Linked DNA regions of Arabidopsis thaliana. The protein of the gene in region 2 binds, or shares a complex with, the protein of the main gene of each other region. Each region holds a gene or a part of one and is shown on either strand. Other genes may lie near its edges.

Region 1 (3,579 bases), on a different chromosome or scaffold from region 2:
GAAGAAGAAGAAGAATCTAGATCTGTCTCTCTCTCTACTCGATTTCTTCAAACTTGTAGCTCTCACACTTCTTTCTCTCTATATTGTTTGTTACTACCGGTAAGCTCTGTTTGGAAGAAAACATGCAATCGCAACCGCCAAAACTTCTTTGCGTTTTGATTCTGCATTTGGGATTCTTCTCATTTATGGGCCTTAAGCCCAACTCAATGACTGACCCAAATAACTAACACTAAGCCCAATCGTAATCCAACATTTTCGCTTTATTTATGCATTTTATAGACACAAGTGACCAGTAATTGAGTTTAGGGTCAAAAGATTCATAAAGTTTTCACAGTCATAAAACAAACCAAAAAGTTGGTAAGAAACTGAATTCACAATCTGCTCCAATCTCAAGTTTACAAATTGGTCTTCCAACTTTTTAAAACTACCATTTGTTTTTCAATCCTTAATGACTTCTAAAATCAATGATACCACAAAAACTCATAAAAGTCTTTGTTGTATTATCTTTAGCCTCTCCCAGCTTGAATTGCTGCCATCAAATTAGCCATGAAGAAAGCATATCCAACAGCGGTATGTTGCGGAGTGTAGTTGTCTCCAAGTCCAAACTTTTCAAAGTTGAGTTCTTTGTTCACAAACTTACCCGGCAACGACCTTTTCGACATAGCTTCTTGCCATATCTCCAAGAACTCCTCCATCAATTTTTTTGCCATTCCCATTGATGATATAGGAAGATACTCCACCTAAATAGTACACACACATAATTATAGGTTTCAAATGAAAGTAGTGCATAATAGCATAATGGCATAAGTTGATAGCACTAAAAATTCGTATAATGAAAACTTGTTGCATGGAAAACCGTAGATTATGCAAATTTTCTTAATTGACAAATTTTCTGCCTAATCACATTAGAAACCGTCATTATGTGTGTTACCAATCATAGCTAATAACCTTTAGTTACTGAGTTACATTACAAACTCCAAATTATGAATTAACTAGAGTGTTAGATAATCATTAACATTGATTATTAATATATCTCAACGTACTCAAAAGATATAAAATTTGTTACCTCCATGACTACGCCTCTAATGGTCTCAGCATGAGTAGGAACAACTTTACCAACTCTCAAACGAAAATCCCCAAGTTGATACTCAAGCCCTTCAAAGTAAAACGAGAGTTTGCATTTGTAAGACTGAAGGCTCTCCATGATCATTTGAATTGAAGAATCTGCTTCCACGACGATCCTTTGCGACCTGATGACGAAATAGTACTTATCTGGCTCCTCCGGAAGCGAAATTCCTACAAATTCACGCGGGAACTCAGCTTGATTCGCCTGATCTTGCAACATGGGTTTGTAATAGTTGAGAGTGGCTTTCCATGTTCCCTCTTTGACGCCATTGAGACTCTCTATGCTTTGTGTTACTTCGTTTAGGATTTGGCTGCTAAATGTTGATCCCTGATTTGGTTGCCAATGCAAAAGCCTGGAAAAGTATTCCCCCAAAGAAATTTGAAAAAAGGTTAACGTATTATAAAAGAAATTACAATAATGGTTATTTAGTTTATGTAATCATCAAACCTACCATTTGACGGGCATGGCTAATGGAGGTACAACAAATTTCACTTGACAACAAAATTAAAAAAAAATGATCTCTATTAATTTACAATAATACACAAACAATAATATCTTATATAATATAGTTGTATTCAGATATATAATTTACCAAAAAACAAAATGATAAAACTTTACAATAAAGCAAAAAATTATTTAATCAAAAAATACTTTTTGATAGAATTTCAATCAGTGTTCATAAGGAAAATACATTTAAATGCTCAAATGGAGTTCATTTTTTTAATCATTTCTTTCATTTGAAATAGAACGTGGTCTATATGGAAAGGAAAATTTATTTTTAAAAGTAATTTACAGACCAAAAATAATACATATGCATCAACTTTGGAATCATAATACAAATTTCATTTTTTAATAAATAATTATAACATAGAGAATAATTAGATATTTTAGTGCATGTGCACAATTACATAAGTGTACTCACCCTTATCAAGATAAAAGGGAAGAAAATATAAATTCTTATAAGAAAAAAATAAAGTAACTTTTGACTTTAAATAAAAAGGAAACAAATCTAAGAAATTAATGTTATAATTAAATTATTTACCAAAATTAATTGAAAAATAAGAAACATTTTTTTACAAAAACTAAAGAAATTCATTAGATCTGCTATGAGTATCCGTTTGGGATCACACGTTCTGTGATAGTAGTAGATCGACAACAGATTAACTAAACGAATCAAATATGAAATATATCACTTCTTGAATACAATCTAAATATAAAATTCATACATCTCGGATAAACAACTCAATTCTGCTTCTAAGTATATTTAGTTTATAAAACGATGCTTTTTATCTTTATCTTATCTAAATCATTTTAAAAAGATGAGTTGAAGGCATAGTAAAGACTTTTAGGCTTAATAATCATCGAGCCATAAAAACAAAATACAAGATTAGATTGCGAGAAACACTTACCGATGAAAGAGATTTCTGGTGATGATCTTCTTGGGAATACGTAGTATAACGAAAAATTAAGACTCGTACACTGCATTATATAGAGAAAAGCATAGGAGTTTGTTTGTTTTACTAAGATAAAACGACCTCGTTTAAACTACCTCATTTAAAACGACTTCGTGTAAAATTATGTGTTTCTTAAAATGACCTTGTTTTTAAAAAGGTTTTCTTAGGAAATGAGTGGTGAAAACATGAATGAATCTAACCGAACTTATCCAAATTCGAATAATACTAATAGTTTAAAATCTTATAAATAGAATTATTGGAACTGAACCTTAAATCAAATTTAAATTTTATGAAACTGAACAAAATTAACTGAACGAATCAAAATTCCTAATGTATATATCTCATCTAATCATCTAAATAAAAATAAAGGTTTGATTCATGTTTCTTCTCATCTTTCGTTCATTTTTTATGCATAGTCATGAAACATTAAGGTTTCATTCCACCCAATGATATAATTTTTTTTTATCCTAGTACACTCAAAAAATGAAAAATTTATATAGAAATAAATTGGAAATTGATACAATTATATAATTGAATGATACGCTTTTGCTTAATACTAGTCAAGATGAAAAAATAAAAATAAACCAATAAAAAAAATTGAGCTGAAAATAGAGGAAAAATAATTACTTAGTTGATAATTATTTGTTTGATATAATGACATTAAATTGTAATTTTAGGTAATCACTTTTTGTTGATATTTAAAATACGTTTTTAAACAAAAACAAAACCGAAATAAAAAACCAACTCGAACAAAAACCGAATTGTGTCAAACCGAACAGAGAAAAAAAAAAGTTTTCCACAAGTAAAACCGACAAAATAAACCAAACCGGATCCCAAAAACCATAACCAAAAAATTGCATTAGGAGCCAAATATTTCCGCCACTTAAAACATGCCACGTAGGCACGAATCGATCGATGCAATAACTTTTGTAACGGCTACAAACTTCTGATTTCATTTTTGAAATTCTTCTCTTCCGTCTCTTTTACTAATTCCCCTTT
Region 2 (4,527 bases):
AATGGGAACTCTTCCAAGCCACATTTTCTCCATTCATGGAGCTTTGAAATATGGCATCTTGATCCGATATGGGTGCAACCAGCGCCATTAGGACCAAATGAAGGTTTGAAGCCGGACGTTTCCACGGAAATGGAAGAGGGCCGAGAAAATAGTGAGTGTATATGGAGAATGCTTGGTGCTCTGGTCTTGGCTGCAGTATGTGGAGCCGTAGGGGCAATGTCAGCTATGTATCTTTGGACTATTTGCAGTGTTAGGCGGTCAATGGCCGTGGTTCCAGAGGAATGTGCAGTGAGCATTGTGGTCGTTGCAGTTAAAGATGGCAAGAAGTAATGAGAAGTTTGTTTGGCTTTGGCTTTGGTTTAAGAAGGTTGTCTTGTTGTAGTGTAAATGTAGTACCTTCTTCCACTTCCTCTGGTGTTATCTTTATTTAGTGTTTTCTTTTATTTGCTTCGTTAGTTGCAGGTTTCACATGTACAATCTCTATGAAAGAAGCCGTAAGCTTATTTGATCTTGCAAAATAACTTAATTTATTGATCTTGCATTTAACATGTTTTATATTTCTGGATCGGAAGCAAAAATCAACACCCACTGTCTTTTTCTCACTTTGATGCTGACTGCAACAGAGTAATGTGAACCGAGTTAAAAAAAAAGGTCTCTGTTCAGTCATCTCGTGAACAAAGATCAAATCTCTAGAAAGAAGACAACATTCACATGTTACCAGAGAGTAGAAAGAAAGAAAGTTAATCTAAACCTCAACATGGGACATCAACAACAAACAAGAGGTATATCAAGGAGAAGAGCAGATACTAAAGATCCATACAAAATGTTATTAGAACTTATTTCTAACCTTTCTTTTAATTGATCCTCCCTAATCACTAGAGTACTAGGTATCATCTTGAGAGCAACTGGAGTGGTAAGCTTCACAAACGTCCAGGTTTAATGCAAGAGGCAATTCTTGGTAAGCGCGGTGTAAAGGAGGTAAGATTAACGCAGACTTTTTATCCATTGCTAATAGCCTTCCACATTTACTGCATCATCAGAAGAGAAATGAAAAGTTAGTCCACGGGAAACAAATGTATTAGAAGAATTACGGAGAGTCTGCATACGTGCAAGGTTTGCTAAATACGGATTCAAAACTGCATATCCATAGCTGCATAAGAAGAAGAGAAAGGTGTTAATTAACTTCCAGACAAAAAAGGTTCATGTTATCCAGAGACTGAAGTGTGCTTGTAAAATGCTTTACCAGAAGAGAGTAGAGAGCTGTTCCAGTACCAAAGCCGAGGAAATATTGCAAGGCTGTAGCAGCATGTTCCTGCAAGAAAAATCTAATTAATGCAAGTCCCCAATGAATCAAATTTGTTAAACTATATATAATATCAATCGCATCTTTATTACCGTTATGTGTTTGTAAACATGATAAACCGAGAAGCCTCTCGCATGTAAGTAGCTGCCTCCCTGTAAGAAAGGGATGAAGCTAAAACATGAGAACTTAAACAATTTCACATGAGAATCAGTATATTTTAATGCAAGGAGGTTGGAAGTGACCTCATCTGGGGAGAAGAAAGCAACTGCATCTGGATCAACAGAACCCGCTGGACTCAACGAGACTATAGCTCTGAATAGAGAAGGAAATGATAACTCAATAACAGCAATCTTGTCGACAACTTCAGTCTGTAACCCTGATCTCAGCTTGCTAGAACTCTGGAAAATAGGTTTCGATGCTTCTGTAGGATCATCACTACCTGACCCAGGTAAAGAGTTAGCTCTTTTAAGCCAGTTCAATCGTCCATAAGTAGACACCTTCACACTCGGAACCAGCTTCTCTAAACGCGATTGTATATCTGGCAATGTTTTGTAATCAACCGGCTCCTCTCTTCCATTTTCTAATAGCAAATGGGAGGCACGATGTTTTTTTGAGCTTGGTTCCATCTTTAATCCATCATCAATATGAGGGAAGAATCGTCTTTTCTGATCCGTGAAGGCCTTGAGAGCTAACCTACAGTCATTATACACAACGCGAGAAAATGGAGAATGCATGAGATTCAGTAGAATTGGTTAGCTGATGAAACTCCAAGTTGGTACCACCAAGCTTCACTAACAGCCCTAATATGCAGACTCGAACCTAAACCCTAAGTATGCTTTAAAATGATTAGCAACGAATCTGATACCTGGTTCTATCAACAGCAGAAGCACCAGCTTGGCCAGCAAGCTGTCTTTTCCAAGCATAAGCAACGACTGCACCATCTGGACAAACCAAAGGCATGTGAAGACCCCAAGAGTTACTTCTTGACCTAAGTGATTCAGTTAACACTCCAGATTCTTCCAATTTCTTCCCTGAACCAAGCAATAAACATTGATCGATCCTTAAAAGCCCTAATCTAGAGAATCAATCAATACTAATGAAAATGATTCAGTTTTGGTTCAGCACCTATTAAGCGAAGATCCTGAAGATGTTGACGCATGGAGGCGTCTTCTCTGAGAAAGAGCTGAAGAGGCATGTCTGTGTGACGAGGTTGCGAAGCCACGAACATAGCTTCAAGGATACGGTCAGCGCCGAGGCGGATATCGGCGATAACCCTAGCCGCTTGATTGAGTCGTTCCATGGCCTGAGCCACCTGTTTCGGCGGCGCGTCCGATTCAGACTGATTGTTCGCCGCCTCGGCCGGATTCTGGAGAAGTTGGGACTGGTGTAGCGTCTGCATAAGCTGTGATTCAAGCACACTCTTTCGATTTCAATGAAATTGATCTTCTTGACGACGACGGAAGGAGAGGAATGTTTCTGGACTCGGAGAATTTCACGTTCAAATCTCAATCTACTGTAACGCCAGACGCAATTTTGTAGCGTTTGCGTTTCAAAGGCGTTTTTGTTGATATGCTTGCTTCTGCTCCTTCACGTCTTATTTTGTTTAATTTATTCCACTCTGTTAAATTGAGTTTTACTCCATTAAGCAATGCTTTATGGCTCATGTTGGACTGAAAATGTATTTTGTAATCTCAATGTTTGTGGGACTTTTAGTTTTTAGCCCATATGTACAGTTTGTTCACTTTAATATTTTTTTTTTTTTAGTTTGTACATGTAAAAAAATGGGAAATTTGCAAATATAGCCAACAAAAAAATTATAATTGCAAAACTAACACTTCAACCAATATGTATTGAACTTTATGCAATATTGACAAACTTAACCCGTGCGTGAGCACACGCGCTTATTCTTCTTCTTCTGAGTTTTCAATCGATAACTTCTATGTATTACTCTGTAAAAATTCAAATAGAGGTGAACATTCAGAGAAGTTACAGTAAGAAAATCTGAAAATTCTGGGCTTTAAAAAGCGACACCCGGGAAAGTTTCGAAGAGCAGACTGCGTGTGCAATCCGAGTGACGATTCTAGAGTTTACGAAGATTGAATTTGTGGGTTTCGATTTGGGGACTGTGGAGGCTTCGATTTCTGGCAATCGGACTGCATAAATCTTCTGCAATTGGAGGAGGAGCCTATCTAAGCATCCGAGTTTCGTACAACACTTATGTTGGCTCTTTTCTCAATCGAGGGTTTTTGATTCCGTTGAGAGTACTTGAGTGAGTTTTGTTGTACGGGAGTAGAGGTGTTTATATCTCCGTCGTCTCCACTGTAACACTCGAATTTCTGTGGCAATTGGTGTCGGCGAAGGGATTCAGCCAAATTAAGGTATGAAATGCCATTTTTTGGCTTTTGGGAAAATCTTTTTAATTTGTGTTGAAGAGCTTGAATAGCATAAACTCGGATTTGAGTAGCTTTAGGTAGGGAATCTGCTTGGTTAATACGATATTCATTTGTAATTGTTATGAAGGTTTAGGATTTAACTCTACTTCAATGTAATCCATTTGTGTTTGTTGATAGTAACGGAAGCTACTCAAATTGGTTGTATGTGTTAATGACATTTTTAGTTTTATTTGCAGTATTGAATAGCATAAACTCGGATTTGAGTAGCTTTAGTTAGTGAATCTTTGCTGGTTAATCCGATATTCCACTAATTGGTGTTATGAAGGTTTAATATTTAACTCAACTTCTATGTAATCCATTTGTTGTTGTTGATAGTAACGGAAAGCTGAGGCTATATTGGTTGAGTCTGTTAATAACATATATTTACATCTAAGATTTATATATTTTGTATTTGTGTAAGTAGCAGCATCAAAAAAGTGATACGTGGACATTTGTATTTCAGTGTATCTGTTCCATGGGGGATGTAGAGTTGCCAAAGCGTTTGTTTCGGCTAGGTTCTGAACCTGAGGGCCGAAAGAGGATAAACAATTACTTTACTCTTAGGTGGATTGAGATCATCAAGGCTGCTCTAGATCAAAACCATTTGAAGCAGCTGGAGGGTTCGCAGTTTGGATTTCTGTTGCAAATGGGGACGCATCAGTTTTCTGTAATGTTCTTACATTACATTCTATCTAGGCAGTTGGTGACAGATAAGAAGTATGAAATGTGGTGGGTGTTTGCAGGGAAGCCAATTCGATTTGCCATTGATGATTTTGCACTTGTTACCGGGCT
Region 3 (5,519 bases), on a different chromosome or scaffold from region 2:
CGGATCATTGGATCTTCTGGACGTTTACCTCTTCTTGACAATCAGAATGCTAAGAGCATCTCAAAACAAGCACAAGGTAACAACAATGCGAAGAGAGGAGCTGAGTGTAATAGAAATCAATTGGAGAAATCGCCATGCAAGCGAGCAAGGAAGAGTGCAGGAGATTCTGAATCAAATGATGTGACATTGGAATCATACGAGGAAGAAGCTGAGATGGAAATAGAACATGCATATGAGGAAACTGAAACTGTAGCAGAAGAGAATCTGATGTGGAATGATGAAGAGGAAAGTAGAAGCTGCCTTATGATAGATGGTGAATGGAAAAGAGTAAATGATGGAGAACTCTCGGGGATGGCTTCTAGTGTTACAATTTGTGTTTGAGATTTCGACAGATGTAATCATATAATCCGACATATTTTTGAGAAAATAGTTCAGATATTTGATCAATTTTTACAGGCATAGTCGCAGACAGATAGACATTGTGACACTCAAGTAAAAGTAAATAAGTGGATTTGACAGTTACTTTTTCAACAACATCAATTGGTAAGTAAATTATTATACATGAATAGTAACGATTTGTGTTGTATTGAGTATATAGACAGAAAAGAGATGGAATAGAACACCCCAAGAAAAATGTTACAAATCTGACACCAAATCAATTATGATACTAAATTCTTCTTCTTCATTTCACAAATTTCCCCTTTCTTCTTCAAGGAATGAATTCACCAGTTTGGGCTTTTAACCTACAAAGCCAATCATTTTGTTCAACACAACTTGAAAATATAAGAAAGTAACAAAAATGTAAGCAATGATTTGTGTTAGCTGAGACTGTTCTATTTAGAAACACATCCTATCTTTGATATGTTCTTTCGACAGGTTACCCGATTTTCATTAGTTATGTATCACGGCAACTTTCTTAAGACCAGAAAAGAATCCAATACCAATACAGAAGTCGCACAGAGACACATACAATGTTCCCTTGCAAATGTTGCGTTATTTGGATTTCAGTAACTTAAAGAATACAACACAAAACTCAAGTATCTGCCTAAAAATATTATGGGTTCAGTTCCCCTAAAGTATAGTATCTGGACTATAACAGATGTATATGTTCTATGAAGGATCCCGGAATACCAAGAACACCGAAAAAATTGTACAAAAGAGACAGGACAGTACACAGATGCTTACCTAATAAGCTGTCTACAGTGAGTTGAAAAGTGCTTCTAAAGTCTCCATGACACCTACTCGAGTGCAGAATACAAAATTGGAATGTCTACAACTTTTTTAGCCAGCAACCCTTATTGCACCCACCTCATCAAGCTTTGAGCTTTTATGCTGCAACAGGTTCAATCAAGAGCTGAATCAATACAATTTATCAAAGACATATTACTAGTTCTCTAGCACCTTTGTGCAAAAAAAACATTATGGTGGAAATTTCATGTTGAGTGTTAATGAAGAACGAGAAAAATTTGAGGCCCCACTTCATTACCATTACCTTGTTTTTTTTGTGCCTCTGAACGTCATTAAGATCTTCATCTCCATCGTGTTTCCTTTTCTGAAATATAAGTGAAAAGGCTCCATAAAAACTCAATAAAATGTTCTAGAGCAGTCTCTAGATCTGCTAATTTCATGCCAAGCAGGTCAAAAAAGCAGCCTAACTCAAGAGCAACAAATACAAAACTTTCCATTAAGCTATTCTTCTTTGGAAAGACAGACACCTTCAACAAACAGACATGTTCTTTACCTTATCATGATGTTTCTTAGAATGATCACCCGAATCATGGTGGCCATTTTTGTCCTTCTTTCTGTCTCGGTCCTTGTCTTTATCTTTATCTTTGCTTCTATCTTTATGTTTGTGCTTGTGCTTCTTATGCTCTCTATCTTTGTCTTTATCCCTGTCCTTGTGTTTCTTATGTTTCCTGTCCCTATCTTTCGACTCACTTTTTGACTTAGACGGAATTGTAGGAGCTCCCTTCTCTGCCTGAAAGAAGAATAGTACCAAGGTCAATCATCTCCATAGGACACCCAGATGTAATTCACATTACTAGGGAAAGATTCTCAATTAACCAAAGAACTTGATGTTACAGGAAATAGGACATTCATTACTGAGCCAGTTTTTAAGTTCAATGTAATGGCAAATACTGTTACTCTTATGAAAAGAAGGACATTTAAAACTCAAAACACCAAGAGAGAGTGAGAAAGATCAGATTCTTACTGGGGGTAATTCAACAGGAGTCATATCATTTAGTTGGAAAGACTCCTGAAGCTCATCTATATCAAAAGGCTGGATGCGAATATTAGTCTCCCGGCTCTGTGATATGCTCTCAATAAGCTGATCTAATTGCATTCCTTCTCCTTTTCTGATCTCTGTGTCCCCAACCACATTATGAAGATAATGGGAATCTGATAAAGAAACAGGAAGAGATTTCTTGCAAAAGAATTCATGGTGTTGCACTAGTTTGAATTGAGATATAAGATCCGCAGCACCGCACAACTCTCTTGGACCTGCACTTGAAACAAACAACACATTGACCTCAAGGTGAGCCAAAGGGGAAAACAAAGGACAACGAGCTACAAAAAAAATAACTTCACGAACTGAAGAAGCTCCAAATTCGAAACCAATGTACCTCCAAATTTTAAACGTTCAGGCTCCATCTTCTCTATCGCACTCTGAATTTCTTTTGCATGATCACTGGCTCACTGCATATATATCCTACACAAGGAAACAAAAATCAGAAAAAGCATAGAGTGATAAGGAAATAATACTACTACAGAAAGCAAATTCAGCTTCGATACTATCTAAACTAACAATTCTGTAGCACAAACAATACAAAAGTTATAACTAAGCACCAGCTCATATTTCATAGTGACCAAAACTAAGAAGTAAGAAAATCTAATTTAGCATTAGATGCTATCAATTCTCAACTTTTCTGCTCCAAGCTCAAAAAAAATGAAACTAGCATCAGAAACAAAACCCTAGAAAGTTTTCGGAAGTTTGTAAAAGTAAAATTAGATACCAAGTCCATACATTTTGGATCTAGTCAACAAGAAAGTTTCATCAATTTGTTCTATTTAGGAATGAAGCTAACAAAAAAAAAATCAGACAAGCGAAGTAATCACTAGAAACGAAGATTAGACTCGATAAAAAAGCTTCAAGCAGAAGAGAAATTCGAAATTGAGGAATTTGGAATTCGAAAACGAAACAAGACAGAGCCCAATAGCAAAACCAAAATCTCAGATTCAATTGGTAGGAGAAAGAATCGAAACAATCAACATACACGTTTCTTTCGACAAGCCCAGATCTCGTTTGAGAAAGCTAGCTAACGAAAGCAGCGAAACGTGAGGGGGGAAGTGTTTGGGTCTTGGGCTTGGGTATCGAATTCCCGCCTAAAATTTTGATTTTAGCAAGTGATCGAGAAAGGACAGAGATCGAAGAAGGTTCGAGAGAGCGAAAAAGCGAGACTAGTTAGGGTTTGAGAGTCTTTTGTGTCTGATGACCAATGAGAGAGGAATTATTCTCTGTTTTCTTCCGTTGGCTTCTCTCTCAATATAATCAACAAATTACAGTCAGCCTTTTTTTATTATTATTCAAGGGCTCCGCGTGGGCTTCACGCGCTCCTTCAACACGGCCCACTTAACCAGACAAATCAAGGATCTTCCATTAGCTAAACCGTATTCGAACCGAGTAATGAATCTCTCTTTAACCGGTGGTACTCTTATCCAAACAAAAATATCCACGACTATTTATATCCGATTTAGATTGTTATCTCTTTCTATATTTTTTATTTACTTGAGTGAAAAACATGAATTGTTATTCTAAAAAACCATTATAAGACCGAAAATTATCAAAACATAAATAATGTAAGTTTTCAGTGTTTTGGGTTGGTCGGACAGGTCTAATCCGATCGAGACATGCCTAACAATATCTTCTACAATTTAAGATGAAACATACGATGAATACATACGTGTATATTTGCTGATATAACATCAGAGACAAAGTGCTTGACGAGAACAAAATGGAATAATGGTATTTTTGGGGATTTGAGTTTGTATACCTGCTCTCTACTATGTAAATGATGATTTGTCTGCTGTAAAATAAATGGGAATATAATATATAAAAACGTGATGACTGATGAGGATATATTGAGGTACATATCACATATGGTGTTTCTTGACAAATATTGGACGTAAGTCTTTGTTTTTTCTTCTATAAACTTTCAGCTTGATTTCTTAAAAACATTTGTTGCACAAGTTGTAAATACGTTTATCGAAGGTAGAAGATGCATATTGGAGAATCATATCCATATATGTATCATGTATGTAATTTAGTTCTTGTGATACTGTTTTCTTTATTCTCTTTCTTAACTCATAATAAAGTAAAATTAAAAAAAAAAAAGTAATCTTAGAAAGACTAAAAAACGAGAAGCAAATATAGATATACAACATTTATATAAAATGGAGAGGAAGAAGATTCAAGTGGTAAGTGGATTTTTTCATGTGTGTGAGTGAGTGTAAATGTGGGTGAAGAAAAAGGGAGTGAAGACAACATCATTTTCCCCAAAGAAAGCTAAGTCTTAGAATCATCACTCCAATTCCCTTTTTGGCCCCTTCTTCTCTCTTTTCTATTTCTTTCTACTTTTGACCCCCTTCACATAATTACCTTCCTCTATATGCTTTATTATCACACCCTCATTACTCTCTAAAACTAACCACTATAAGTATATTATTAACCACACTAATTACTACCACTTGACCTAGTAATCCCAGCTAAGACCTTTGGAAATGATTCAACACACAAAAAAAACTTTCGTTAAAAATTAATGATATATATATTTACAAACCTCTATCTAGTTTCTCTTCTCTTTATTTGTAGAAAGTGGTGGAGAATAAGAAAGGGAGAGCAACAAACTTTTAGAGGAAGTCATAGGTTAAAAGCCCCATAGCTTTTTCTTCCATCACTTTCATTCCTCTCTTCTCATTCTTACAGACTTTGAGAGAGAATTTATTTAAGAGATCTTGATCAGATCTTTTATACTTGCAAAAATCGATTCTAAATATATAATCTATACCTTATAGAGAAACTCTTCATATCTTGAAGATTCCTAAGAGATGGGAAATTACTACTCTAGAAGAAAATCTAGGAAACACATCACTACAGTTGCCTTGATCATCCTTCTTCTTCTTTTGTTTCTGTTTCTTTACGCTAAAGCTTCATCGTCTTCTCCTAATATACATCATCACTCAACTCATGGAAGCTTGAAGAAATCTGGAAATTTGGATCCAAAGCTTCATGATCTTGACTCCAATGCTGCGTCATCAAGAGGATCAAAATATACTAATTATGAAGGTGGTGGTGAAGATGTTTTTGAAGATGGCAAGAGAAGGGTCTTCACAGGTCCTAATCCATTGCACAATAGATAAATTTTTGCTTTTACAAGTTTTTGTGAATTTTTGTCTGAATAAAACTCATTTGTGCAAACACAAAAAACATATTTATTTACTTTTTTTCTTACACTGATGAT

Evidence for each region. Proteins that work in one complex are often made in the same cells at the same time.
Region 1: AT3G09180 (region 2) and AT4G09070 share a complex: the UniProt entries of both Arabidopsis thaliana proteins name them as parts of the mediator complex.
Region 3: AT3G09180 (region 2) and MED19A share a complex: the UniProt entries of both Arabidopsis thaliana proteins name them as parts of the mediator complex.

What each region holds. Positions count from the first base shown.
Region 1 is NC_003075.7:5,800,320-5,803,898, reverse strand, and holds AT4G09070 (TATA-binding related factor (TRF) of subunit 20 of Mediator complex), read right to left. Parts: upstream 1,592-3,579; coding exon 1,578-1,591; intron 1,479-1,577; coding exon 1,067-1,478; intron 741-1,066; coding exon 507-740; downstream 1-506. UniProt on the Arabidopsis thaliana protein: Component of the Mediator complex, a coactivator involved in the regulated transcription of nearly all RNA polymerase II-dependent genes.
Region 2 is NC_003074.8:2,817,453-2,821,979, reverse strand, and holds AT3G09180 (mediator of RNA polymerase II transcription subunit), read right to left. Parts: upstream 2,887-4,527; 5' UTR 2,703-2,886; coding exon 2,429-2,702; intron 2,335-2,428; coding exon 2,169-2,334; intron 1,997-2,168; coding exon 1,546-1,996; intron 1,456-1,545; coding exon 1,396-1,455; intron 1,313-1,395; coding exon 1,244-1,312; intron 1,151-1,243; coding exon 1,107-1,150; coding exon of another isoform or gene 1,088-1,106; exon of another isoform or gene 1,029-1,087; coding exon 884-1,028; 3' UTR 555-883; downstream 1-554. Other genes in the region: AT3G09190 (Concanavalin A-like lectin family protein), read left to right, coding at 1-330. UniProt on the Arabidopsis thaliana protein: Component of the Mediator complex, a coactivator involved in the regulated transcription of nearly all RNA polymerase II-dependent genes.
Region 3 is NC_003076.8:3,952,634-3,958,152, forward strand, and holds MED19A (mediator of RNA polymerase II transcription subunit 19a-like protein), read right to left. Parts: upstream 3,553-5,519; 5' UTR 3,276-3,552; intron 2,711-3,275; 5' UTR 2,653-2,710; coding exon 2,625-2,652; intron 2,503-2,624; coding exon 2,213-2,502; intron 1,979-2,212; coding exon 1,742-1,978; intron 1,553-1,741; coding exon 1,493-1,552; intron 1,333-1,492; coding exon 1,282-1,332; 3' UTR 1,186-1,281; intron 744-1,185; 3' UTR 507-743; downstream 1-506. Other genes in the region: AT5G12220 (las1-like family protein), read left to right, coding at 1-381; CLE22 (CLAVATA3/ESR-RELATED 22), read left to right, coding at 5,107-5,418; AT5G12236 (uncharacterized protein), read left to right, coding at 5,515-5,519. UniProt on the Arabidopsis thaliana protein: Component of the Mediator complex, a coactivator involved in the regulated transcription of nearly all RNA polymerase II-dependent genes.